3 linked regions of the Mus musculus genome follow. Each later gene encodes a partner of the first gene's protein in a complex. Links are inferred from orthologs where the notes say so. Each region holds a gene or a part of one and is shown on either strand. Other genes may lie near its edges.

Evidence for each region. The genes of interacting proteins can lie anywhere in the genome.
Region 2: the proteins of Ccna2 (region 1) and Gmnc are in contact, whole or in part, in a cryo-EM structure (PDB 9HIU), measured with the Homo sapiens proteins. The link is inferred for Mus musculus from reciprocal best matches to the Homo sapiens genes CCNA2 and GMNC. Residues at the interface, in NP_001228.2 of Homo sapiens: Met210, Ile213, Leu214, Asp216, Trp217, Glu220, Val221, Glu224, Arg250, Leu253, Gln254, Tyr280, Ile281, Thr282, Asp283, Thr285; in NP_001140158.1 of Homo sapiens: Asn165, Ala166, Lys167, Arg168, Asn169, Leu170, Ser171, Glu173, Phe174, Ala175.
Region 3: the proteins of Ccna2 (region 1) and Cdkn1b are in contact, whole or in part, in a crystal structure (PDB 1JSU), measured with the Homo sapiens proteins. The link is inferred for Mus musculus from reciprocal best matches to the Homo sapiens genes CCNA2 and CDKN1B. Residues at the interface, in NP_001228.2 of Homo sapiens: Met210, Ile213, Leu214, Asp216, Trp217, Glu220, Val221, Glu224, Met246, Arg250, Gly251, Lys252, Leu253, Gln254, Leu255, Tyr280, Ile281, Thr282, Asp283, Thr285, Tyr286, Thr287, Gln290, Arg293, Met294, His296, Leu297, Lys300; in NP_004055.1 of Homo sapiens: Lys25, Pro26, Ser27, Ala28, Cys29, Arg30, Asn31, Leu32, Phe33, Gly34, Val36, His38, Leu41, Thr42, Asp44, Leu45, Glu46, His48, Cys49, Asp51.

The regions. Positions count from the first base shown.
Region 1 is NC_000069.6:36,568,380-36,575,908, forward strand, and holds the start of Ccna2 (cyclin-A2), read right to left. Parts: upstream 4,660-7,529; 5' UTR 4,402-4,659; intron 3,925-4,401; 5' UTR 3,445-3,924; coding exon 3,259-3,444; intron 2,601-3,258; coding exon 2,357-2,600; intron 711-2,356; coding exon 601-710; intron 433-600; coding exon 209-432; intron 1-208. Other genes in the region: Bbs7 (Bardet-Biedl syndrome 7 protein homolog), read right to left, coding at 5,110-5,243, 6,915-7,038, 7,166-7,269, 7,364-7,473. UniProt on the Homo sapiens protein: Cyclin which controls both the G1/S and the G2/M transition phases of the cell cycle. Functions through the formation of specific serine/threonine protein kinase holoenzyme complexes with the cyclin-dependent protein kinases CDK1 or CDK2.
Region 2 is NC_000082.6:26,987,131-26,994,690, forward strand, and holds the start of Gmnc (geminin coiled-coil domain-containing protein 1), read right to left. Parts: upstream 4,523-7,560; 5' UTR 4,343-4,522; intron 2,910-4,342; 5' UTR 2,831-2,909; coding exon of another isoform or gene 2,800-2,830; coding exon 2,779-2,799; intron 1-2,778. UniProt on the Homo sapiens protein: Regulator of DNA replication. Promotes initiation of chromosomal DNA replication by mediating TOPBP1- and CDK2-dependent recruitment of CDC45L onto replication origins.
Region 3 is NC_000072.6:134,917,224-134,924,922, reverse strand, and holds the start of Cdkn1b (cyclin-dependent kinase inhibitor 1B), read right to left. Parts: upstream 4,523-7,699; 5' UTR 4,004-4,522; coding exon 3,529-4,003; intron 2,968-3,528; coding exon 2,849-2,967; 3' UTR 2,840-2,848; intron 681-2,839; 3' UTR 1-680. UniProt on the Homo sapiens protein: Important regulator of cell cycle progression. Inhibits the kinase activity of CDK2 bound to cyclin A, but has little inhibitory activity on CDK2 bound to SPDYA. Involved in G1 arrest. Potent inhibitor of cyclin E- and cyclin A-CDK2 complexes.

The DNA.
Region 1 (7,529 bases):
GACCCAGGTTCAATTCTCAGCACCCACATGGTGCTCTTAACAGTATATAACACCAAGCTTAGGGGACCCAATGACCTCTTCTGCCTCAGCAGGGACCTCACATGTGCTACAGATATACATGCAGGCAAAACATCCAAAAAATATATAAATGGGGGTGTGGGGGGAGTAGTAGTGAATGATGACTCTGAACCAAACTAGGTGGACTTACGAAGCTAGCAGCATAGCAGCCGTGCCTACAAGCTGAAGCTTCCCTCTTAACACAGACATGGAGGAGAGGAATCTATCAATGTAGTTCACAGCCAAATGCAGGGTCTCATTCTGTAGTTTATATTCTTCTCCCACCTCAACCAGCCAGTCCACAAGGATGGCCCTCATGCTGTTAGTGATGTCTGGCTGCCTCTTCATGTAACCCACTTTAGGTTTACATTTAACCTGAAGGGGGGGGGGGGAATCAGAGTTAACATAATTATCAGGTGACTTCATCATTCACAAAGAAGCATACACCATAATCTTAAGTTTAGAGTAACTTGCTAGTAGTTAGCAGGCGTCAGCATTACCCTCTCTGCTTCACTTAGCCATTTGTAATGAGCAGAGCCTTACCTCCATTTCCCTAAGGTACGTGTGAATGTCTTCTTGATAGTCAGGTACTTCATTAACGTTCACTGGCTTGTCTTCTAAGACAATAGACATATCCATAGCATGTGGTGATTCTGTGTGTGTGAGATTAAAACCAAAGTATTTATCTCTTCCAATCAAAAACACCCTAATAGCAAAGCAACATAGAACATCTAATTCTGGTTTTAGGACTTTTGTCAAAGCTCTAGGATAACCTTAGTTCCAAAACAGAAATAAATGTATGCATGTATGTACACCAATAGGCTACTAAGAAGACGGAGAATTACTTTAAAGTATCATCCTCCACAGAGATGAGCAGATGAAACAATGGTTCTTTTAGGACAAGAACGTAACAGCAAAGTTTTAAAATAATTATTTTTGCCTTAAGAGAGACTGCAGATCCCATGGGTTGCCATAGTCAGATCATAATGAGGGAGTCATTAGAATCAGGTAAATGGCATGATTAACAAATGTTAGTAAAGATATCAAGTTTGTCATATCATGTCCAAACACTGATCTGTAAGGGACTTGGTGTTTGTTAAAATTGGGTCTCATTCTATAGGCTAAACTGGCCTGAAACTGACTCTGTTGCCCTAGGCTGGCAATCTTGCCTCAGCCTCCTGAGTGCTGTTTATAGGCATTAATATACTCAGCTCTAGTTTTTACCATTTCAGTTATCTTGAGATGGGAGAATCTGTGTAATAAACTGTTTCCATATCCTCCTTCCCCATCAGCAGAACTAAGTAAACTAAAGCGGCTGGAAATGGCTTAGTGCAGTGCCTGCTGCATATGCCTGAATGAAGATATGGCTTGCATTCCCAGCACCACACAGAAGCATTATCTGTAACCCCAGGAGTGGGAGAGGAAAAGGGTTGAAAATAGTCATATCCCTGTGCCTCGATGGCCAGGCTGTCTAGCCAAATCGCTGAGCTCCAAAGAAACCTTTTATCAAGAAATGAGATGGAAGAGTGGTTGAAGATACCCCAAAGTCAAGTACTCCACTAGTCTCTACTTGTACCAGCACAGGCAAGCACACCCCTTCTGCTGACACACACAGCATAAGGTAGAATGTGACAGATACCAGTATCTCTGGTCTCCATGCAGTGATGTCATAGCAACCGCAGAGCTGTCTACCGCAGCTATTTTGCCTTCCATGTGTCTGACCTACAAGCTGATGAACATTCAAACAAGTTTTAAACGAATGGTAGATATCACAATGCTTAAAACTGTAGCCTCAAGGAGCACTCTTAGGGCTGGCATGTTAAGGAGTGAGTCAGACACAAAACTGAAATCTATTCTCCTAGCCAAACATTTATAAAGTCAGATTAAGATAGATATTTACGATCTAATTAAACTTGATGTTGGTTTGCAGTGCCCTCCTGCCGGTTAAAGATTTGAGTCCTTTCATAGGTCAGTACTAGTCATGAGATTGCGGTAATCTTAACTCACTGTGTATGATCGGGTAAGACATAATCTTAAAACTCAAAATATCAAGATATAAGCTACAGGTTGAGATCCTGTCTCAAAAATAAAAGGCACAGGCTTGGTGGTTGTGGCACATGCCTTTAATCCCAGCACTTGGGAGGCTGAGGTAGGTGGATCTCTTAGTTCAAGGTCAGCCTGGTCTACAGATTGAGTTTCAGGACAGTCAAGGATACTCAAGAAACCCAGAGGGGGAATAAAAAGACAGAAAGGAGGGAAAGAAGGAAGAGAGACTGGTAAAAATAAAAAGCAACCTTACCAAAACTGCCATCCATTGGATAGTCAAGAGGTGTCAGTGGTTTTCTTGCTCCGGGTAAAGAGACAGCTGCATTAAAAGCCAGGGCATCTTCACACTCTGTTTCTTTAAGCTCAGCTGGCCTCTTCTGAGTCTCTTCTGCTTCATCCACATGAATGGTGAAGGCAGGCTGTTTACTGACTGCTTTCCATGAAGGACCAGCAGTGACATGCTCATCGTTTATAGGAAGGTCCTTAAGAGGAGCAACCTAAAGAGGAGGAATCTTTTTCAATACAACTTTGCTTCTAGCCCGGTGGGTATCAGCTTTTAATTCCAAATACTCTAAGAAACATATAAGTCCATGAGGCAAAGCCCAGGTAAAGGTGTGTAAACCGATCTGTCACAGCCATTTCTACAAAGGCTATAAATAGAACGGACTGGAATTCCAAACTAATCAAAGACTAAAGTTAGGGCAAAGAACTGATTCACAACTTTAGCCCCAGGGTGGAGCAAAACAGCAAGTCTGGCTAAAATGGCGGAATTTACCACGAAGAATACTTGCTTTATGTCCTTCCCTGAAGTAGTAATCTGGGAAGCAGATGGTGAGGGGGAAGGGATCTACATCCTAATGCAATGCCTGGCTTTAAAAGTGGAGGGAAAGGTACACAGCTGGGGGAAGTCGACACGCGAGTGGCAACGCTTGGTATGACCCCGGGCATTTTTTGGAACGCGGCGCCACTAGTGCCGAAGGGCGGTCTACACGGGTCGGCAGAGCTCGTGGGACTATTTGGTACTAGAAACGCCCGGACCGCGAAGACTGCAGCCTGACTCCCCCTGGAATGCTCAGCGTGCTTTCCGGCCCTCTGGGCTGCTAAACCCAGGACCGCTCCCGCCCGGCCCTCCTCCAGACCCCCGCGCCCTATTACCCGTCGAGTCTTGAGCTTCTGCTGCGGCGCGGGTCCACGCACGTTCCCGGCCTTCAGCACCGCCTGCGCCCGCGGCTGCTGGGCTGGCGCCAGTTTTTCGGGGTTGACATTCTCTTGGTCTTCCTGATGCAGCGAGAGCAGGGCTGAGCCCGCATCGCGACCCGAATGCCTCGAGGTGCCCGGCATCGCGGCTCCGGTCCGGTTCTGTCGGCGGCAGAGCGTGCACAGCGCCCGCCGCTCCGGAGCAGCGCGGGACCCTGGCGGCCGACCCGCGGAGCAGAGGCTGCAGGCGGGAGGAGCGTAGAGCCCAGGAGCCGCGAGCTGCGCGCCGCCCGCCGGCTGCTGGTCTTGTAGTTCAAGTAGCCCGCGACTATTGAAATAAACCAATGAGGGCGTCCGGAGTCCGTGACGTCACCAGAAGCGCCGGTCGCCGCGAGCGAAGGCCCGACGGGAATCTTACAGGGCGGGAGCCTGAGGACGCGCCTGCGCAGAGGAGGGCGGGGCGGGCGGCCGCTTTCGGCCGATCTCTGCTGCTCAGTGGATCTGTAGCCTCATAGGATCCTGCCGGAGCCGCTGGGCGGTCCAGACAAGCCCTCGGGGCCTCGAGGTGTCGGCCTTCGCCTCAGCTAAGGGGTGAAGCGCCTTCTCCTGGTCGCTGGGTGGCGCCTAGGCAGGAGCGTATGGATCTGAATGACAAACTGCCCCGTCCTGGGTACACTACTCCTTTCTCTTTCTCTGTGATGCTGCCATACAACATAGGGAAACGCTGGAACTTTTACTGTTTACTATTGTTTCACCTCTCCTGTATATCATTTGTTTGTTGTTTGATTTTGAGGCAGGGTCTCATAATGCTGTCCCAATTGTCCTGTGACTCACTGATATCCGTTATCAGAGCTCACTGATCTGGGATTAAAGGCGTGTCTCTATGCCCCGCATTCCAGTAAACTACCCCACCCCCACCCCCAATTAAAGATGGGTTAATTTAAAATGCCAACATGAGCTATTGTTGATAACAAGTGGTGTACTACAAGAAATTCAGCTGTCCATTAATTTTGCTAATCCTTGGTTGTGACATCAGACCATGAAGTTCCACTGACCCAAATAGATATTACATTTAGAAATGAAGTGCATTGTGGTACATACCTTTAATCCCAGAGTTTCAGATCTCTGAATTCAAGTTAGTCCAAGTCAGCTATGTAGTGAGATGATGTCTCAAAAGTAGAAAAAAAGTGTTCATAAGAAAACCGGGCAGCCAGGAGGCGATGGCCAAGCCTTTTCCGGGCATCTCAGGAGGCAGAGGCAGGTGGATCTCTTGAGTGCAAGGCCAGCCTGGACTGCAGAGTTAGTTCCAGGTCAGCTACACAAAGAAATCCTGTCTTGAGAAACCCTGTCTCGAAAAACAAAACAAAACAAAAACCACAAAAAAAAAAAAAAAAACCAACCCAAACACACACACACAGAGAAATATATACAAAACCTAAATAAATATATAAAGACACAAGTATATTACCTTAAATGTTCACATTTAATAGTTAAGAATCATACATAAAATATAATAAAATGTAATCATTGTTTTCATAACTACCCTTTGAAAACAAAAGACAGCTTATTTGCTCTTATTTAATAGTATTCTAAAACTTTCAATGCAATATTCCCCTGAAATGAATGACTAAAAGATCTTCTTTTCCCCTCAAGTACACAATAAAAAGGACTTTCATGGGTACTCGTAGGGGGATGCTTAGAGGCCGTCACTCTTCTGATTACATGTGGGACGTCCATCTGAGGTGCCTCGGGTCTGATCAGGCTCTGCTTGCTTCTTCGGCTGTCCTGTTGGCCTACCTTGTTTATCTTTCATGCTGCATCGAAGAAAGAAATCAGTGTGTTCTGGTCGTAGCTGTCGAGAATCTCCAGGAGCATGGGTACTTTGGTTTTTACATTAGTGCCTTTGAACTTAAATTTATCTATAAAAAGATCAGTAATCATACCTACGAAGAAAAATATTATTTCTTGTTATTGATTAGTTCTTTTAACAATGCATGTGGCATTCTCTCACCACCTGAGACTCCATTATTCAACACATACAAGCCTGGAAGAGGTTGGTGTTTTTAAAAACAGATGTGTATGTGGAGAAGGTTTGAAGCAACTTTCAAGACATAAATATTTGATAACCTTCTAACAATGGGTTGCAACTGCTGACCTAGACAAGCCACTGGTCGCGATTCTGAATCTGTGTCGGTGCACCCTGCATCCCAGCGACTGACTGCTGCTGCATCAGGAAGAACGTCTGAACTGAAGCACTTCACCCATGGGCTTACTGGGTGCAGAGGTCTGGGAAATTACTGCACCTTTGAGTTTTCAAGATGTAACACAGAGACAACTCAAGTTGTCTATTATTTATACAAGACCCTTGAAAAAAAGTATATTTTAGGAAGAGAAAAAGAATATACCATTGATACTTTTTATATTGGTCCAATGAGACTGAGTGCTGATATCTGCTAACAAAATGGCAATGCTTTTACAATAAACAGGTGAATACTTGCACTCAGTGGGATTTAAAAAAAAAATAGAAAAAGCTTCGTGTCAGTTTAAATCAGGTTTTATCATGAAGTCAATCAGATTAAGACAATTTGCTGGTAAATGATTTACAAAGGTAAACTTTGGTTTTCAAAGCTGCTTCCTAGATTTTGGAATCACAGATGAGAGACGGTAGATCTGCAACACCATCATGTAAGGATATTTTAAGAGACCCTGTGCTTGCCGAATAGTGAACACTCAGATATCAGTACTGTTCATCTGTGAGAAAGTCTTGGGTGCATAATAAATTCTGTAGGCAGGTTAGTGGATCAGTGTGGGCTGAGGACACCAGTCATGATGGCCCCAGGCCTGCATGTCAGGGAGAGAAGGGCTTAATGAAGGCTTTGCCACTAACTAGGTATGTGAGAGCAATCTTTACTCCCATATTTTATCTAAAGATTATTGAAAATGAAGATAAAATCATCTCCCTTGCAGAGCTGCTGCAACAGTTAAATATCTCAAGAAAGATAGTGCAGTGTGCTGCACACAACAAATCTTAGAGAAGGACTGCTATCCAAGCTTTTGCTTAGTCTTCCCTCCCTCCATCTCTGCCTTCCCTTCCCTTGGTCTTTTTTCCTTTTTTCAATGCAATCTGTAATATACCCAACTTATCACCAAAGCAAGACAAATTTTAAGCTGTTAACTTAAAGATCACATAAATATTCCTACTAATTTTTGCCTAAATAGATTAAATGCTGAGTTTTTTATAGTAGCAACAGAACCTGAAAATCACTGTGAGAAACAGTGTGGATGTCCAGGCTGTGTGGGTTGCAACACCTCTTCACTATACACATAGATGTTCACGGTATAATTCCACTTTCACATTTATTTGCATTTTAAAGTAAAAAAGGTTAAGATGTAAGGCCACCTTGGAAAAAATACATATTTTGTACAATAAACTGGTTGCCACAGGCTCGTGGCTGCTGTAGTCTCTGCCTAGTTCCTTTCACAACTATTTGGCAAAATAAACAAACCCCCCAAAAAACAAAAAACAAAAACAGACAAACAAATAAAAAACCCCAAAGAACTGCTGAAAAGAAGCACAGCAGGCTTTTCTGGAAAGGCTTTTCTGGTCTACTCACCATAGAGTCTTTCAAGATGTGCAGGCTGCTTTTTGTATTCCTCTTGTAGATGATCTGCCTCTTCTAGAATACATCGGTACTCTGGAGTCAGAAAGTCTGTATTTCCCTCATGAACCTGCAATTCCTTATTTAAAATTAAAAGGAAATAGAAGCACCGTAATGGTCAGGTTTTAGGTGTGTAACAATGTGCGTATGACTTAGAAAGCCCGGAGCTCACAGCCATGTCCATGATCCCACTGACACAGCCTTACCTTCAGGGCATCGATTAACTGCACTTTCTTAGCCAGAAGCAGCTGATACTCCAGCTTCGGGTGAATTAGCTTTAAAGTGTGCTTGACAGACACCTCGTTTATCTCTACAAGAAGTTGGCCAGGCACAGTTAAGTCACTTTCACGAAAAGCATTGCTATTAAAACTGCAAAAATTGGAATGAACAATTTCCTTTTTTACCGTATGATATGTTGAGATTAATTTTCCTTTTTGTAGCTTCTTTAGAAAGCACATCTTTTAGGATGGATATTGTAGAAATGTTGTCAGATTTAAAAACTCCTTCTCCTTTCCTACAAAATCAATATATTTTTAAAGAAAAGTTGAGGAGCAAGTGACCCCATAAATA
Region 2 (7,560 bases), on another chromosome or scaffold:
GTGTTGTGTGTGTGTGTGTATGAATTTGGGTGTCTTTTTTATAACCTTCAATATAGGGCTCTTCTGGCAACACATAATGGAGGCATAGACCCATCAAGGAGAACTGAGATTCAAGTCTACTGAATCTTGAGCGGGAAGACTTGTAGGGAAAGTTCTAAGACCATTTTTTCAACTAGATAATATGATTATTGTAACATGGATGGAGCAGAGAGAATGAAGCAGATCCAGGTCACTAGAGTAGGCTCTAATGAGTGTGTGGCTACTGTGCTTTCTCCCCAAACATGTACCTTCGGCAAAAGCTAAACATGAAACAAAATAAATAAATAAAACACCCCTGAGTCTCACAATCATATCAACATGAAATGTATAATTTATACTATTTCCTGGAATTTCAAAATCCCAATTTGAATTACTATTCATAATTCTAATGGGGATTCAGTGGGCTTAGATTTTGATTCCTATAACACCCTATCAACAGGATGTTCAACCATTAGATTTCCTTGTTAATGTCATTTTGGTCAAATGGTCAATTTGTACATTCTTCAAATACTCTATTTTCTTGAATGATACCATTGATCACATCACCTCATCATTGGTATAAAGTCCAATAAGATCTTGTCTTTACTTTAATGCTTTACTGGATTCAAAGATTAATATTTAATCTATAGTAAATTCCTGGATTTTTGTTTGTTTGTTTGTTTTGTGAGACAGGGTTTCTCTGTGTAGCCCTGGCTGCCCTGGAACTCACTCTGTAGACCAGGCTGGCCTCAAACTCAGAAATCCACCTGTCTCTGCCTCCCAAGTGCTGGGATTAAAGGCCTGCGCCACCACTGCCCGGCTTAAATTAATGGATTTTTAACAACTTTAGAAATCAATATTATGAATTAAAACACATTCAAACTCCATGATTAAATGTCTAAAATAAATTCATTGAAAAAGAAAAGTTACAATGGACATTATAAAATATTTAGAACTATAGAAAAAGATGGATTTTTCATCAAAATTTGTTAGGAATAAATATATTAAAAGTGCTTTATAGATTTAAAATACTGAGAAGAACTGGGGCTGTTGCTTGGTGATACAGCATTTGCCTAACATGAAATCATTTTCGCTTCCTGACAAACAAAATCCTCAAAAAACCCTGGAAAACAAAAATTGAAATTTTACCTTATTATTTAATCTACAAAGCTAGGAGAAAAATGTTGAAAGGAAAAGAAAGAAAAGATTGGTGACAGAATAGGAGTCATTGTAATGAAGAACTGAAAAATGCTGAGCTCATCAGAAAATGTCTTTAATTAGTTTTTAATATATCTATTCAATAGACATTCATGTAATAATCTGGTATGAGAAGAAAGAATGTTAAACTGTCTGAGATACTGAGATAAGTATGAAATTACAGTTACTCTAATAAAAATGTATAAGCACTTTGAATTTATGAATGCATATAACTTTGAACATTTTCTTGTTAATATTTTAGAAATATTGATATTTAAAGTGTTAATTATGGAGTTAGAGAGATAGCTCAGCTATTGCAAGCACTCCCTGTGCTTTCAGAGCACGTATGTTCAGTGCCCAGCATTCCTGCTAAGCCCCTCACAAATCCTCATGGCTCCAGTTTTAAGGGACCTAAAACTCTCCTTTGGCCTCCACGGACACACATATGCATTGCTCACACTCACACATGGTCATACGTGCACAAAAAAATGTGAAAACCTACTTGAAAATAATAATGATACACTGTGCTCTTGTGTTCTCATTAATGAGTGTTTAATTCTACTTACAAAACCTCACTGATCTTATTTCATTGACATTAATGGTAAAGAGAGAAACTTCACGTATGAGGTGTGTGATGAAGCTAAAGCAACACTCAGGTGAAATCTGATTGAGAACTGTGTTAGATATCGCAGGGTGGGATGGTACCCAAGGGGTCAGACCCCTCCTCTAAGGAGAAAGGGAGGGGACGATGGGGGGGGGGTTGTAAGGGTAGGACTGGGAGGAGAGGAGTGTGTGTGTGGTGGAGCTGTGATGGGGATGTAAAGTGAATAAAACATAAATTATAAAAAAAAAGATAGAATTACCTTAGAAAGGAAGACACATTGTTCAAGCTGCCCTGTAATGATAGCTGCAAAGTTCCAACATCGGGAAAACATTGCCTTTGTCTGTGTGATGTCACTCCATCCTTACCACCCATGGTTTAGAGAAGAATTTGAAGGATACCAGTACTCTCTGACTTCTAGCCGTTTCCTTCAAGCTTGCTCTCTAAACTTCACAAAATTTTGTTACCTTTTCTGGCTGTGCAGAATTGACTTGTAGAGCCGCTTTCAGAACGTTTTCCAAATATCCCTGATCGTAGGCTTGACCTACGTAGGCTCTGCTGTTCCCTCACACAGGGCGCTAAACTTTAGGACCCAGACACACTGCCTTGGATGCACCACTCTCTTTGCAACAATGGATCCCAATGGAGAGCTGCTCCACTTGAGCATCAGGCATCTGGTCCTGCCTATCCTCTGCTTCGCTGTGCATTCTCACTGATCCATTCTAATTAGACAGACAGCAAACTCCGCATATTCTGTGTACCAACAACCGGCTTCTAATATACTCGTGTTCACGCTTTTTCTGACACTCACATTTTATTAACACATGCTGGTTTGGCATTATTAACATCTCTCTCCCTCTTCTGCCAGAAAGAGCCTCTGAGTCAGTCCTTAGCATTTCTTGTTTCTGCCTCTTTCTAACCGGTTTTACTGGCACCACGTTGGCCAGGAGCCCATCACTAACCTGGAACACAGCATCTTCCATAGCCTCTTGTTGCCCAGTCCGTGATTCTCATCACTGCTCAGTTTTTGTCAAGCATCATGCTCATCTGTGAGCTCACACGAACGCCTTCTTCAGCGAGTCACTTTTTCTTACTGCAAAAAAACGCTAAAAGATTTTAAGAGCTCTCAAAATCAGTCCCCCGTGTCTAATCAATGTAATTTCCCATGTCTAATCTGCACCTCCTTATGTTCCTGGTTATAATATTCACAATAAGTGAAATCTCACTGTACATTAATCACACTGAAAGTGAATTGTAAAGACCTCCCACTATGACCTCGCAAATAAGTCTTTTGCTATTGAAACAAGATTATAGTTTGGGTCAATTAAATTTTCTTTTATTAAAACACACCCAAATAAGAATGTAGGAAAGATTAAACTGGAAAAGTAAGTTTATTAATTTATACTTTTATTTTTGGTTTAAAAAGAATTATTTCTTGCTTAGCGACACTAATAAAATATTTTTTTCTATGATGGCAAATTGTGTTTAAAAACAAACCTTTGGCTCTGATTGTTAACCAGTTTGCCCCACAGGGGGTAGTGAAGAGGTTTTGTGCAGCTTGTCTAATATTATCCTAAAGGGTTATTAAGAAAATTGCCTGTAACTTGTACCGATCTGTGGTTTCTGCAATTTCCCATTGACTTATGTCTTTTAATTCCCTGGTTATACACCATATCAGTTGTTTCTTAATTCACTTCAAGCCACATATCATTATGTCTGTTACTCAGAAGCCCCAAGTCCCTTGCCACCCTCAATGGTTATTTAATATGATAGTGGAGATTATGTAATCGACAATGAAACTGGATCGCAAGCTGAGGCTTAAGTTGTAAGGGGCAGTAGACTATTCTCAGATTGCTTCATGAAAGGATTTACAATAATAGCAACAAAATCACAAGTCTTAAAATTAGCATTATTTAAGTAGCCAGTTTCCTATCTATATTTAATTTTCTGGATTCTTAAGTTTTATATTTTAACTACTGCTTCTGCTTTCTCGTGTGTTTATATCCACATTCCTGGTCCCATATATGTCATCAATGAAGATTATTCTTTCTAACTGCTATAATATATTCATGAATATAAACTCAAAATAAAATATTGTAACATTTAAATTACAGGAAATATACCCTTTTTTAAAGTTGAGAAATGTATTCCACATAGTCATACTAGGTTTTTAAAAAAATAATGCTACCAAATTCTGGTAGCAAAATTCAATATTATTCGATGCTGTTATTATTAGTGTTATTTCTTCAATAAAAGCTGTATTGATAAGCTTGGCACAGCATGCATATGTGAATGTACATTTGCTAAAAGTATTCATCAACTTTCCATTTATATTGAATAGGCACATTTAAAGCCATATATACATTTTCAAAATATTAGGGGCTTTTTTTGTGTGCAGTCAATAACAACTAAAACAATTCCAGAAAGTTCTCATTTCTCCCCCACACATTGTGTGACAACTATTTCCCAGAGAGATTGCCCAGACCTGCAAATTCATACATGTAAGTTTATATGTAGCACTCTTACCTTGAGATGAAATTTCTTAGCCAGAATCGTGCACCACTGTCTCTAACATTTAACGTCTCATTACTCTCTGGAAACCTCACTACTACCTATAAATGTGTTCTGCTGGCTCATAAACAATTATATCATCAGTCCCCTCCGTCTGTAACAGGAGACCTTAACCACAGAACTGGGAAATAAAAGGAAGACTTGTGCCAGGAGCAATACTGATGCCAAAAACCTGCCTTGCAATGATTGGCTGAATGGGCCAACCAGTTGAGTTTCATTCACCACACCGGACTCTTGAGTTAACCTACAAGCATTTTTTTTTTCATTTTCTCTCTATTTTTTTTTTTCCTTTTCCAAGGTCCCCTTTGATTTCATGCTGGCTTTTTAAATTGAGGATAGAGTTAATTCACTTAACAATGCCACAGCTGGAATTAAGTATGCCTCTTTTACTGCTGGGCTGAGCGGCTGTACAGCCTGGTTGTGTCTTATTGGATGCCCAACACCCTTGACGGCTGTTGCTGACTGAGTGGTGCCTCTAGCGACAGGAAAGAAGTTAACTAATTATGAACATATGGTTTGGCAGGCACCTTGTTAGCTTGCTGCTGCGTAGGTGTTTGGAAGCAGGAGAAGGGGAAACTTTGAGGTAGAAGGTGCGGTTAAAAGTCCCACTGATAAGCCTGGGGGAGATTTGACTGATCCTAATCTATTCTTTTTGTCAGGAGTCAGCGTGCTTCTGGCAGCAACAGCTTGGTAATAACAGAGATTTGTGGCCCTTAAGCTCTTGTGGTGATAGCCGGCACACGACCAGACCAGTCAACTGGCTGCTTAAAAGGTCTCGCATTAATTGGCCATAGTGGTGAGAACAGAAATGAGAAGTTAGGTCAAGGTAGAACACATGGTCTACCTGAAATGGCTCACCATGATCAGCTGCACAGATGTCGTTCTTTATTGATGTGATCCACAGTAGAGGAATAAGAGAATCCTTGGGGAATGGGCTGCAAGAAAGTGTGTATAAGAGCAGCAAGTGTGGCCTCTGTGTGCAAATTACCTCAAGGAAAACACAGGTGTATACAGAATTGGAAGAAGAGTTATCACATTGCTTGTGGGTTATTAGATTAAAAAAAAAAAAACAACTGAGTGCACTTTATAGAAATGAAAAAATTAAAAACTAAACAGAGAGTACTGTAGAATTGAAGAATTCTGTGACTTTTACAAATATATCAGATAAAATAGTGTTTATTCATACTCAGTGATCAACAGCAAGTCATATGAAATAGGATATTTTCTCATAACTATGTCTCCGTATATGCAACAGACTTGTCTCATTATATTTTCTTTTGCTATTTGTATGTGTGAACATGTATGTCTGTGTGTCTGTGTGTGTGTGTGTCTGTGTGTCTGTGTGTGTGTGTCTCAATGGATTTGTGCCTGTGGTGCAGGCGCCAAGGAGGCCAGAGGCATCAAATGCCCCTGGATTTGGAGTTACAGTGGTTGTGAGCTTGCTGGACAGCTGGATGCTGGTGCTGGGAACAGAACTCTGGTCCTTTACAAGAGTAGTATGTGCCTGTAAGGACCAAGCCAGTAACTAGTTCCTAGTATTTATGATTTAAGCACAAACATTTAAACATTTCACTACATTGTTTGTTGTACTATAAAGGTTTCCACGTAATATGGGCCACAATGGACTTATTGTTTTTATCAATAGGCTCATTTTTATCTAAAGTTTACAACTTTCTAAGACTAAGTTTCTCCCTGTCTCTCTCTCTTCTGTCTCTGTGTGTCTGTGCCTGTGCCTGTGCCTGTGCCTGTGCCTGTGCCTGTGCCTGTGCCTGTGCCTGTGCCTGTGCCTGTGCCTGTGCCTGTGCCTGTGCCTGTGCCTGTGCCTGTGCCTGTGTCTGTGTCTGTGTCTGTGTCTGTGTCTGTGTCTGTGTCTGTGTCTGTGCCTGTGCCTGTGCCTGTGTCTCTGTCTGTGTCTGTGTCTGTGTCTGTGTCTGTGTCTGTGGTGTCTGTGTCTGTGTCTGTGTCTGTGTCTGTGTCTGTGTCTGTGTCTGTGTCTGTGTCTGTGTCTGTGTCTGTGTCTGTGTCTGTGGTGTCTGTGTCTGTGTCTGTGTCTGTGTCTGTGTCTGTGTCTGTGCCTGTGCCTGTGCCTGTGTCTCTGTCTGTGTCTGTGTCTGTGTCTGTGTCTGTGTCTGTGTCTGTGTCTGTGGTGTCTGTGTCTGTGTCTGTGTCTGTGTCTGTGTCTGTGTCTGTGTCTGTGGTGTCTGTGTCTGTGTCTGTGTCTGTGTCTGTGTCTGTGGTGTCTGTGTCTGTGTCTGTCTGTCTGTCTGTCTCTCTTTCTCTCTCTCTCTCTGTCTTGCTTTGGTGTGAGACAGGTTCTTCTGGCTATATACCCATAATTTCCTTACCCATCCTCATGAGTTCTGAGATTATAGTCCTGAATCTTCTACAGAAGCATGTTGTTCTCTGAGAGGTTCCACTCCGTAGCTAAATCAGACAGATGCAGACACCCATAGCCAAACAGTGGATGGAGCTTGGAAACTGTTATGGATGAATAGGAGGAAGGATGCAGGCCCGGAGGGATAGGACTCCACAGGAAGGCCTAGGCTTTCCCGCACATATGTAGTAGATGGGCAGCTTGGTCTTTAGGTGGGTCCTGAACACCTGGAGCAAAGGATATCCCCAAAACTATTGTCTGTATGTGAGATATGTTCTTCTAGCTGAGCTGCATTCTCTGGCCTCAGTGGGAGAGGATGAGCCTAGCCTTTCTGAGACTTGAAGAGCCATAGTGGAGGGATACCCAAGGGGGCCTAACCTTTCAGAGGAGGGGGAGGGAGATAGGGGTAAGGTGTGGCGGGGGTGGCTGAGAGGGGAGCTCTGAGTAAGATATAAAGTGAATTCGTAAAAAAAAAAAATTAAAAAAGAAAAGGGAAAGGAAAACTCAGGTTCATTATTTTTGCCATGACTAAAAAGCAATAATTATTTCAGCTCCTGTTTTCACTGGACAATTTAAAGTATATTTGACTCTACCCACAATTGCCCATGTACATGACTTCATTCTAATTATATCACTTAGCTAAGGGATAGAGAATACTCCATGCATGTGGGCTTCAGATTAGAGGAGTGACTGAGTCTAGTTCCTAACTGTGACTCTGATACTAATTAGCTACATGACCTTGATCAAGATGCTTAACTTTTCAAAGTTTGAAATTTATCTCCATAGAATAAGAACATGA
Region 3 (7,699 bases), on another chromosome or scaffold:
TTCCCTATTATGCACCCCAGATTTTTGCCCAGTGTTACCTGGGGTAATTACTGCTAAACAATAAACTGGTAAATTCCAATTAAAAAAAAAAATTAAGCCATTTCTTGCTCTATAACAGAATCTTCAGAACCTCCAAGTGAGAATAAGCTTCATGTAGAAATAAATAGCAACCATGTGTAGCAATTATTCAAATTTTGATTATTTTAAAAATAAAGGATCCATTCTTACCGAAAGGGACACTACATCTTTAAAGAAAGGAATTCAAACCCTTCCCCCCCCCACCCCCACCCAGGTTGCTTCTCTTTATGCAAGTCAAATATTTTTCTCCTTGCTACAAATTGAAGCAAGTTCTTCACCCCCATGCTGACTCCTCAGCCCCACCCTGCCCTCCCATCCCTAACGTTTATGTGCTACAGAGTAAAAGATAAAAACTATATACACAGGTAGTACAACAAAGCAAATAAGGAACAACCTAATTGCGCAATGCTACATCCAATGCTTTTAGAGGCAGATGGTTTAAGAGTGCCTAAAATTTTAGTGTTATTGTTTTTGCTTTCTCAGTGCTTATACAGGATGTCCATTCAATGGAGTCAGCGATATGTATTTAAATTTTTTCATGTATATCTTCCTTGCTTCATAAAGCAGTGATGTATCTAATAAACAAGGAAATATTCTTAATTCTGCAAAAGAAACAAAAGAATTAGGGAGAAGACACTAGAGTAACATTGCCAAAGTACAGAAATTATTTTGTTGCTAGCTTAGTTAACAAATACTTCAGTAATGATGGATAAATACAGGCACTAAAGGTCTGAAGACTACAGGTATCTCCGATCCTATCTTTGCTGGATTTTTGTTCTGTTTTGTGTGGTATTAGAGTCAGGGTCCTTAACAAGTGGGCAATTTTGTGAAACCCTCCCATGCCCCAGGGGACATTTGGAAATGTCTAAGAGACATTTCTGATTGTCACAGCTTCGGGAAGAAGATTGCTACTGGCATCTTGTGGGGGAGGCCAGAGATAATGCCAAACATTCTAAAATGCACAGGACTGCCTACCACAACAAAGAATAATTTGGCTCAAAATGTCAACTGTGCAGAGGTTGAGAAACTCGCTCTATAAAATCTGGGTCAAAGAGGGTGAGAAAGAAAAGAAATTCAGGAACCATAACACATCAGAGTAGCATATTTTCGTAATCTTGAAAAATACCTGGAAATGCAATTATAAAATTATTCCTCCCCACCAAGTCGAGGAATGTTTACAAAATTGCAATTTCTTACTCATATGCAGCATATCTGCACGAGTGCTTTTGACTAGAGTCTTATGGTTGCTTGGCTAATAAATGCCTCTTTATCAGAACAGGCCAGGTAAAAATCCAGGCGGCTCATCTGAAAAGCTAGGCCAGAAGCCACACAAAGCAACTAAAGCTACAGGTGTGATGGCTAGTTAGAAAGAACTCCCATCCAATTCGACAACTTTATAGAGGGTATAATATGGAAAGTGACTCTAATGGCCATTTTCCATCTCTGAAAAAATGCTATGTCTGTAGAAGGTATATCATGACTTTATGATTTATAAACACAACAAGCTGGAACCCTGTGCCATCTCTATATTCCTTCATTTATTTTTAAATTTCAATAAATGAGGACCTGAAAAGTTAATAATAAACTGTTAAGATCTATTTGTATGCTGGGTTATAAGTGGGCTTTAGAAATAGAGAATGCTGGTTTTCTTCATAAGGAGCTTATAAACTATTATAAGTAGTTAGAGCATATGAATAGTCAATCTATGTAAATTTAGGGGCTGGGTTACTCTAATTAGGCAAGTGGGGTGATGAGATTTTTGACACATGGAAAAATCCACACTTGTGTTGGACCTTCTCAGTTGGTCCTAACATCTACTATCCATTTCCCCTATAAACATCCAAACCGTCCTGTTCCAGCAAATTAGCATACGGTGCTGACGTGTGGGAAGGCTGCTTCCTCTAGCTGTTCATTTAACTTCTGCTTTGTAACCTCAGGGTTAAAATCAATTCTGTGGGAGCATTAGTACTTCTGAACTTTCCAGTCTAATTTTTTTTTTAAGTATGAAGTTCCTTTCTCTCCAAAATTTACCAGCATACAAGGCACAACTTTAAAAAAAAATAAAAAAGTACCCAGAGGTGATGGCACACAACCTCTAATCTCAGCACTCAGGAGGCAGAGACAATACAGATCTCTGTGAGTTCGAAGCCAGCGTGGTCTACAGAGCAATTCCCAGAATAGCCCGAGCTGTTTGTTACACAGAGAAACCCTATCTCAAAAAACCAAAAACCAAAACAAAAGCAAAAGATAAAAAGAACTCGAGCCACGGCAGCTCTATTCACACTCCTAATCAAACGTGCACTATGGGTACCTAGTTTTTCTCTTAAGAACATACATGTAAGTATATATTTGCCATTTTTCTACAGTTCAAATGGTTCAAAATAGGCTATTGGCTCAAAACGAACCTCTGGGAAATGGGTTCTCATGAACTGAGACTGGAAAGGAAAACTGTCATTCCCAGCCTAAGTTTTAGTGGGATTCATAAGGATACGACCGTCCCTATCCTTTGGGGCCTTGGTGGCAAGTTCTTGCTTGGGAACCTCATTCTGATTCCACTTTAAGGTAAATATCTTGGGGTGCAAATACTGCATTATAGTCCCCTCAAGTGATTCCAGCCTTCCCCAGTGTTAATTTTTTTGATCAAGGAAAGTAATTCCTCCTGGCAGGCAACTAATCTGCCAGCAGTCCTGGGGTCTGCAGGCCCCCCGGGGAGCGCAGCCCAGATGGGGTGTCAGTTTTGTGTTCTTCCTCATTAACCCACCGGAGCTGTTTACGTCTGGCGTCGAAGGCCGGGCTTCTTGGGCGTCTGCTCCACAGTGCCAGCGTTCGGGGAACCGTCTGAAACATTTTCTTCTGTTCTGTTGGCCCTTTTGTTTTGCGAAGAAGAATCTAAGAGGGGGGCAAGGGGAAATTTTTAAGAGAACACACACAAACCATCTTTATTATCGACAACAATGGCTGACAGAAGTAGGCCCAAGGGATGAACAACCCACTCACTACCTCCACCCACGACCCCTGGACCCGTCATCCCCGGTAGCATCTAAGGACACAAAATAAGGTTGTTCCCACTAACACAAGGAGTATTCTACACCCCACGTCTCTTCCCCACCCCCATCCCCACCCCCACCCCCCCACCCCAGCCAAGGAGGAGGCAGTTGGTAAACATCCGAACTTTTGTCACGTATCTACAGCTGGCTAGAGGGGAGGAACTGTGATGCGTTCGGCTACGGAAGTTATCACATCTTACTATCTCCGGCTTCTGACTTCAAAATCATAAACAGGGCAAGCAGTCGGATAGGGGGTATGTCAAACCTAAGCTTCAAACAAGTTCGATTTCCCAGAGCTAAAGCAGAACACGCTGGAGAAAGCAAGTGAACAGGGTCTAGTAAAGGGGCGCTTACGGAGACAGACAGACAGACAGACATTTTAAGTTTTCCAAAGAGTCACTACCTTCTGCAGCAGGTCGCTTCCTCATCCCTGGACACTGCTCCGCTAACCCAGCCGGATTGTCTGACGAGTCAGGCATTTGGTCCACCAAATGCCGGTCCTCAGAGTTTGCCTGAGACCCAATTAAAGGCACCGCCTGGCGGCTCCCGCTGACATCCTGGCTCTCCTGCGCCAGCACCTTGCAGGCGCTCTTGGGGGGGCGCGGGGGCCTGTAGTAGAACTCGGGCAAGCTGCCCCTCTCCACCTCCTGCCACTCGTATCTGCCCTCCAGGGGCTTATGATTCTGAAAGTCGAAATTCCACTTGCGCTGACTCGCTTCTTCCATATCCCGGCAGTGCTTCTCCAAGTCCCGGGTTAGTTCTTCATGATTGACCGGGCCGAAGAGATTTCTGCAGGCGGAAGGCTTGGGGTGCTCCGCTTGTCTGGCGTCCATCCGCTCCAGGCTCGGGCTCCCGTTAGACACTCTCACGTTTGACATCTTCCTCCTCGGGCGGGTGTGGACCACCGCCTCGCCTCTCTCCGGAAAAAAAAAAATGAAATAAACAACAAAACCGAACAAAAGCGAAACGCCACGGATGGAGCGCAAAACCCTCTTCGAAGTTCTGCGACTGCACACAGACAGTCAAATGGAGCAGAGCCAGGCGAGCGACCGCCCGAGCCGCAGTAGCGCGCAGGTCTGGGGAAGAGAGGCGCAGGGACACCCCAGCCGCCGCGCAGCTCGAGGCTTCAGTGATCAAGTGTACTGGAGGGCGGGGAAGGGAGGGGAGGAGGCAGGAGGAGGTGGCAAACAGTCGGAGCGTAGGCTGGGGCGAGCCCGTGTGTCCCGCGAACGCAGCCCCTCTCCAAACCTTGCCGCCGCGCGAGTCTCGGAGCCGCGAGTGAGTCGGGACAAGGGATGAGGGGGGAAAACACCCCAAAAGCACGAGCCCCCCTCCTTTTTTAGTTGCCCAATATGGCGGTGGAAGGGAGGCTGACGAAGAAGAAGATGATTGACACTGCAAGTCTATTTAAACAGAGGAGGAGCTCCATTGGTCTCGGCGCCGGGAGCCGCTCCGCCCAGGCTGGCGAGCGCGCTCTTAAGGTGGCCCCGGGCGCGGCGCCGCCGCCTCTCCGCGCTCCCGAGCGCGCCGCCTCCCCGTAGCGCCGCCAGGACATTGGCTGGTCGCGTGACTACTCGGAGGTGTACGACTGCCAACAAACCTGCTCTGGCTGGCCCCGGAGAAATTAAAAATAAGACAAACAAACTAGCCAAACGGCCGGAGAGCTGGGGAGGGGCCAGCGCGGCGGCCAGGCAGGGACCCGGGGATCTAGGTCCCGGCGCTGCAGAGCTGCGCTGGCAGGCGCGTCACCGCTCCCGACTGCGACCTCCAGGTCTTTGCCCGCGAAACCTAGGGCCTGGACCAGTGGGCTCCTAGGTCGCTGGCGGCTTATTAGGAGCTTCGGTGGCTAGTTCAGCCCACCTGCATTCGCCGAGGTGGGAATGGAGGAGGGTATGCGAGAGATTCAGGAAACCTTGGCTCAGGGCCTGGGGCAGCCCACCCACCCCCACCCGGCAGGGTGCCTTAGCTGGGGTGCGGAATCGGCCGCTTAGCCTGACCCCAGAAGTCTCTGCTATGTAGGACAGGCCAGGAGGTGGTTTCAAAAAGAAGCCAGGACTGACCGCTCTTATCAGGGTGTTTCTGAATCCAAGCGCTTCCACCGTAGGATCTCGAGATTGAAAACCCCCAGTGCTCTCCCAAGCCTCTCTTTAGAGCCGTCCCAGACAGAAATCAGAAAAAGCCAGTTCTGATTTTCTTGGTTCCTAAGCACAGTGAAAGCCATTGCTATAGCGTGTGGGAACTCGCCTTTATACCCTTATGTTCTTTCCCGGGCGAAGCCGTTCCCTCCACCTGAGTCCAGACGCCAACTACAACAGTGCCTTCCTTCTCTTTTTTCTCCCACCAGCCTGTTGCTTCCAACCTACTCAGTACAATATTCAAATACAAGCAAATACTTTTAGAGAGCTGCAGGTTGTTAAAGGGCGAAAACACTTTCCTAAGGATCTAAGACTAGATTTGCAAGTGATTTATAATACCACCACCACGGTATTACCAACATCTAGTAATGTTGGGTGGGTTTTTTTCAGCTCCTTGGGCAACTTCACATTTCTCTATCACTGCTGAGCACAGTGACAGAAGTTAAAACAGAATAGCCAGGCCTGTCGTATCTCAGAGTTCAGTGAGATTTTAAGGGCTTTGCCCACTAGTATTCCCAAACAGTCTTGGTTTGCGCTAAACACAAAACATGTTACAGGAAATTAAATTTCTGGTTTAGTGTCCCAAAGAAGCATGGTTTTCCTATCTTCCTCTGGTGTAGGTGAGACTGAATATTGACTTGTTTTCTTAGCCACATCTTTGCCAGGATGTGTGTGTGTGTGTGTGTGTGTGTGTGTGCGCGCGCGCGCGCGCACGTGCACGTGTGTGTGTGTGTGTGTGTGTGTGTGTGTGTGTGTGTGTGTGTGCCTTGCCTCCTGCATTCAAAATGTAACAGTCCAGAAAGTTCTTAGATAGGTTTAGCCTCTTTTTACCAATGAGGAAATTGATACTCAGGTTTCCTGTCTGGGGACTTCTATTCAGTTGGTGGCAGAGTCTCCTCATTCTCGGCTGGTTTGGGTTTTGTCTGTTTTCTTCTGGTGGTCTCAGTGTTCCTGATTTTGTCTGGATTTGGATGGGTTGCAGTCTGCAGACTCTACTCTCTTACAAGGATCCAAAAGGTCTCTTTCCAGGCCTTGGATGCCCACAGATGTCTCCTTGATCATCAAGTGCAGCTGTCACAAGCCTTTGGTATCACTATCTACTAGTTCAGCTGAAATACAGATTCCAAAAAGATGGGTGGGGCTCATTGAGTAGGAAAGAAGGCAGCATCCAGGCGTGGACTTCAAATCCAGGCCTTCTGCACTGTTCAGTTGGGACCAAGGTGGGGAGTTGCCTCTTCTGGGGTGCTTTGTTTGCTGTGGTTTTGCACTGTGTTGGTCAGGCTGGCCTTGAACTCCTGGGCTCTGCCTCAGCTTCAGTAGCTAGGATGCTCAGCAAGACAAGAGGATCAGGAATTTGTCATTCTTGACTGCATAGCTGAGTTGGTGGCCAGACTGTGTTACAGGAGATTCTGTATCTGAAAACAAAATTCAGTCACTGGGACTATGGGTCCACCCCACTGTGTTCAGGTTGTCTTGGTTTTTGTAGATTTGGGCTAAGAGATGGCTCAGCAGGTAAAGGTGCCTGCCAAAATGCCTGACATGCTGAGGTCAGTTTTCGGAATCCATATGATAGAGAGCGAGTTGACTCCTCTTGGTAGGTGTACTATGACCTCTGACCTACCTACCTACATACATATATACACACGCTATAATTGAAAAAATATTATTGCAATGTTGTGCATGACATGCACATATGTGGACAAACTCGTCATGGCATGCATGTGTGCTCAGGTCAGGAGACTACGTTGAATCAGGTCCCCCACACACACCTTACATGGGTCCTGCAGGCTGAACTCAGGTTGTCCGACTTGTATGGCAGGTGTCTGACCCATTGAACCCACTCACCAGTCTCCCAGCTGTTGCCCCTCCCCCCATATCTAACATACCTACTTAGTTTACTGAACTTGGGAAGAAAACACAGTAAAATGGGGTGAGCCTTATGTCTCCGGTATATGCCCAGCCTTGACACCAGCACCATAAACATTTTAAATTGCTAGAGATGTCATCACTGTAGAGGTAAAGGAATTCAAAGTCCTTCTCAACTACACAGAGAGTTCACAGCCATCCTGAGCTATGTAAGACCGTGTCTCAAATATTAAACTAAAAGACAATCACTAGGCAGCAAGGAGCTCCTCTGCCTCTTTCTGTGTGAACTATAGCTCTTATGTAAAAATAGAGAAATTACAATCCACTTCAGAAGGTTTTTTTTATTCATCACGATAATGTCTGTATGAAAGCAGAAAGTTAACACTTCTGTCCCTGCACCGCCGGAGTCTCTCAGCCTTGTGCAGGAGCACCATTTTGTTGATCTGTTAATCCCACATGTATAGCAGTCCTGGCCGCTCCACCTTAAGAAGTCTGGCTGCCAGCAGAAAGGCTGAGCTTAGCCGACCTCACTACGGATCTAAAGTGTTTTGTTTACAATCAAGGCACCCAAGA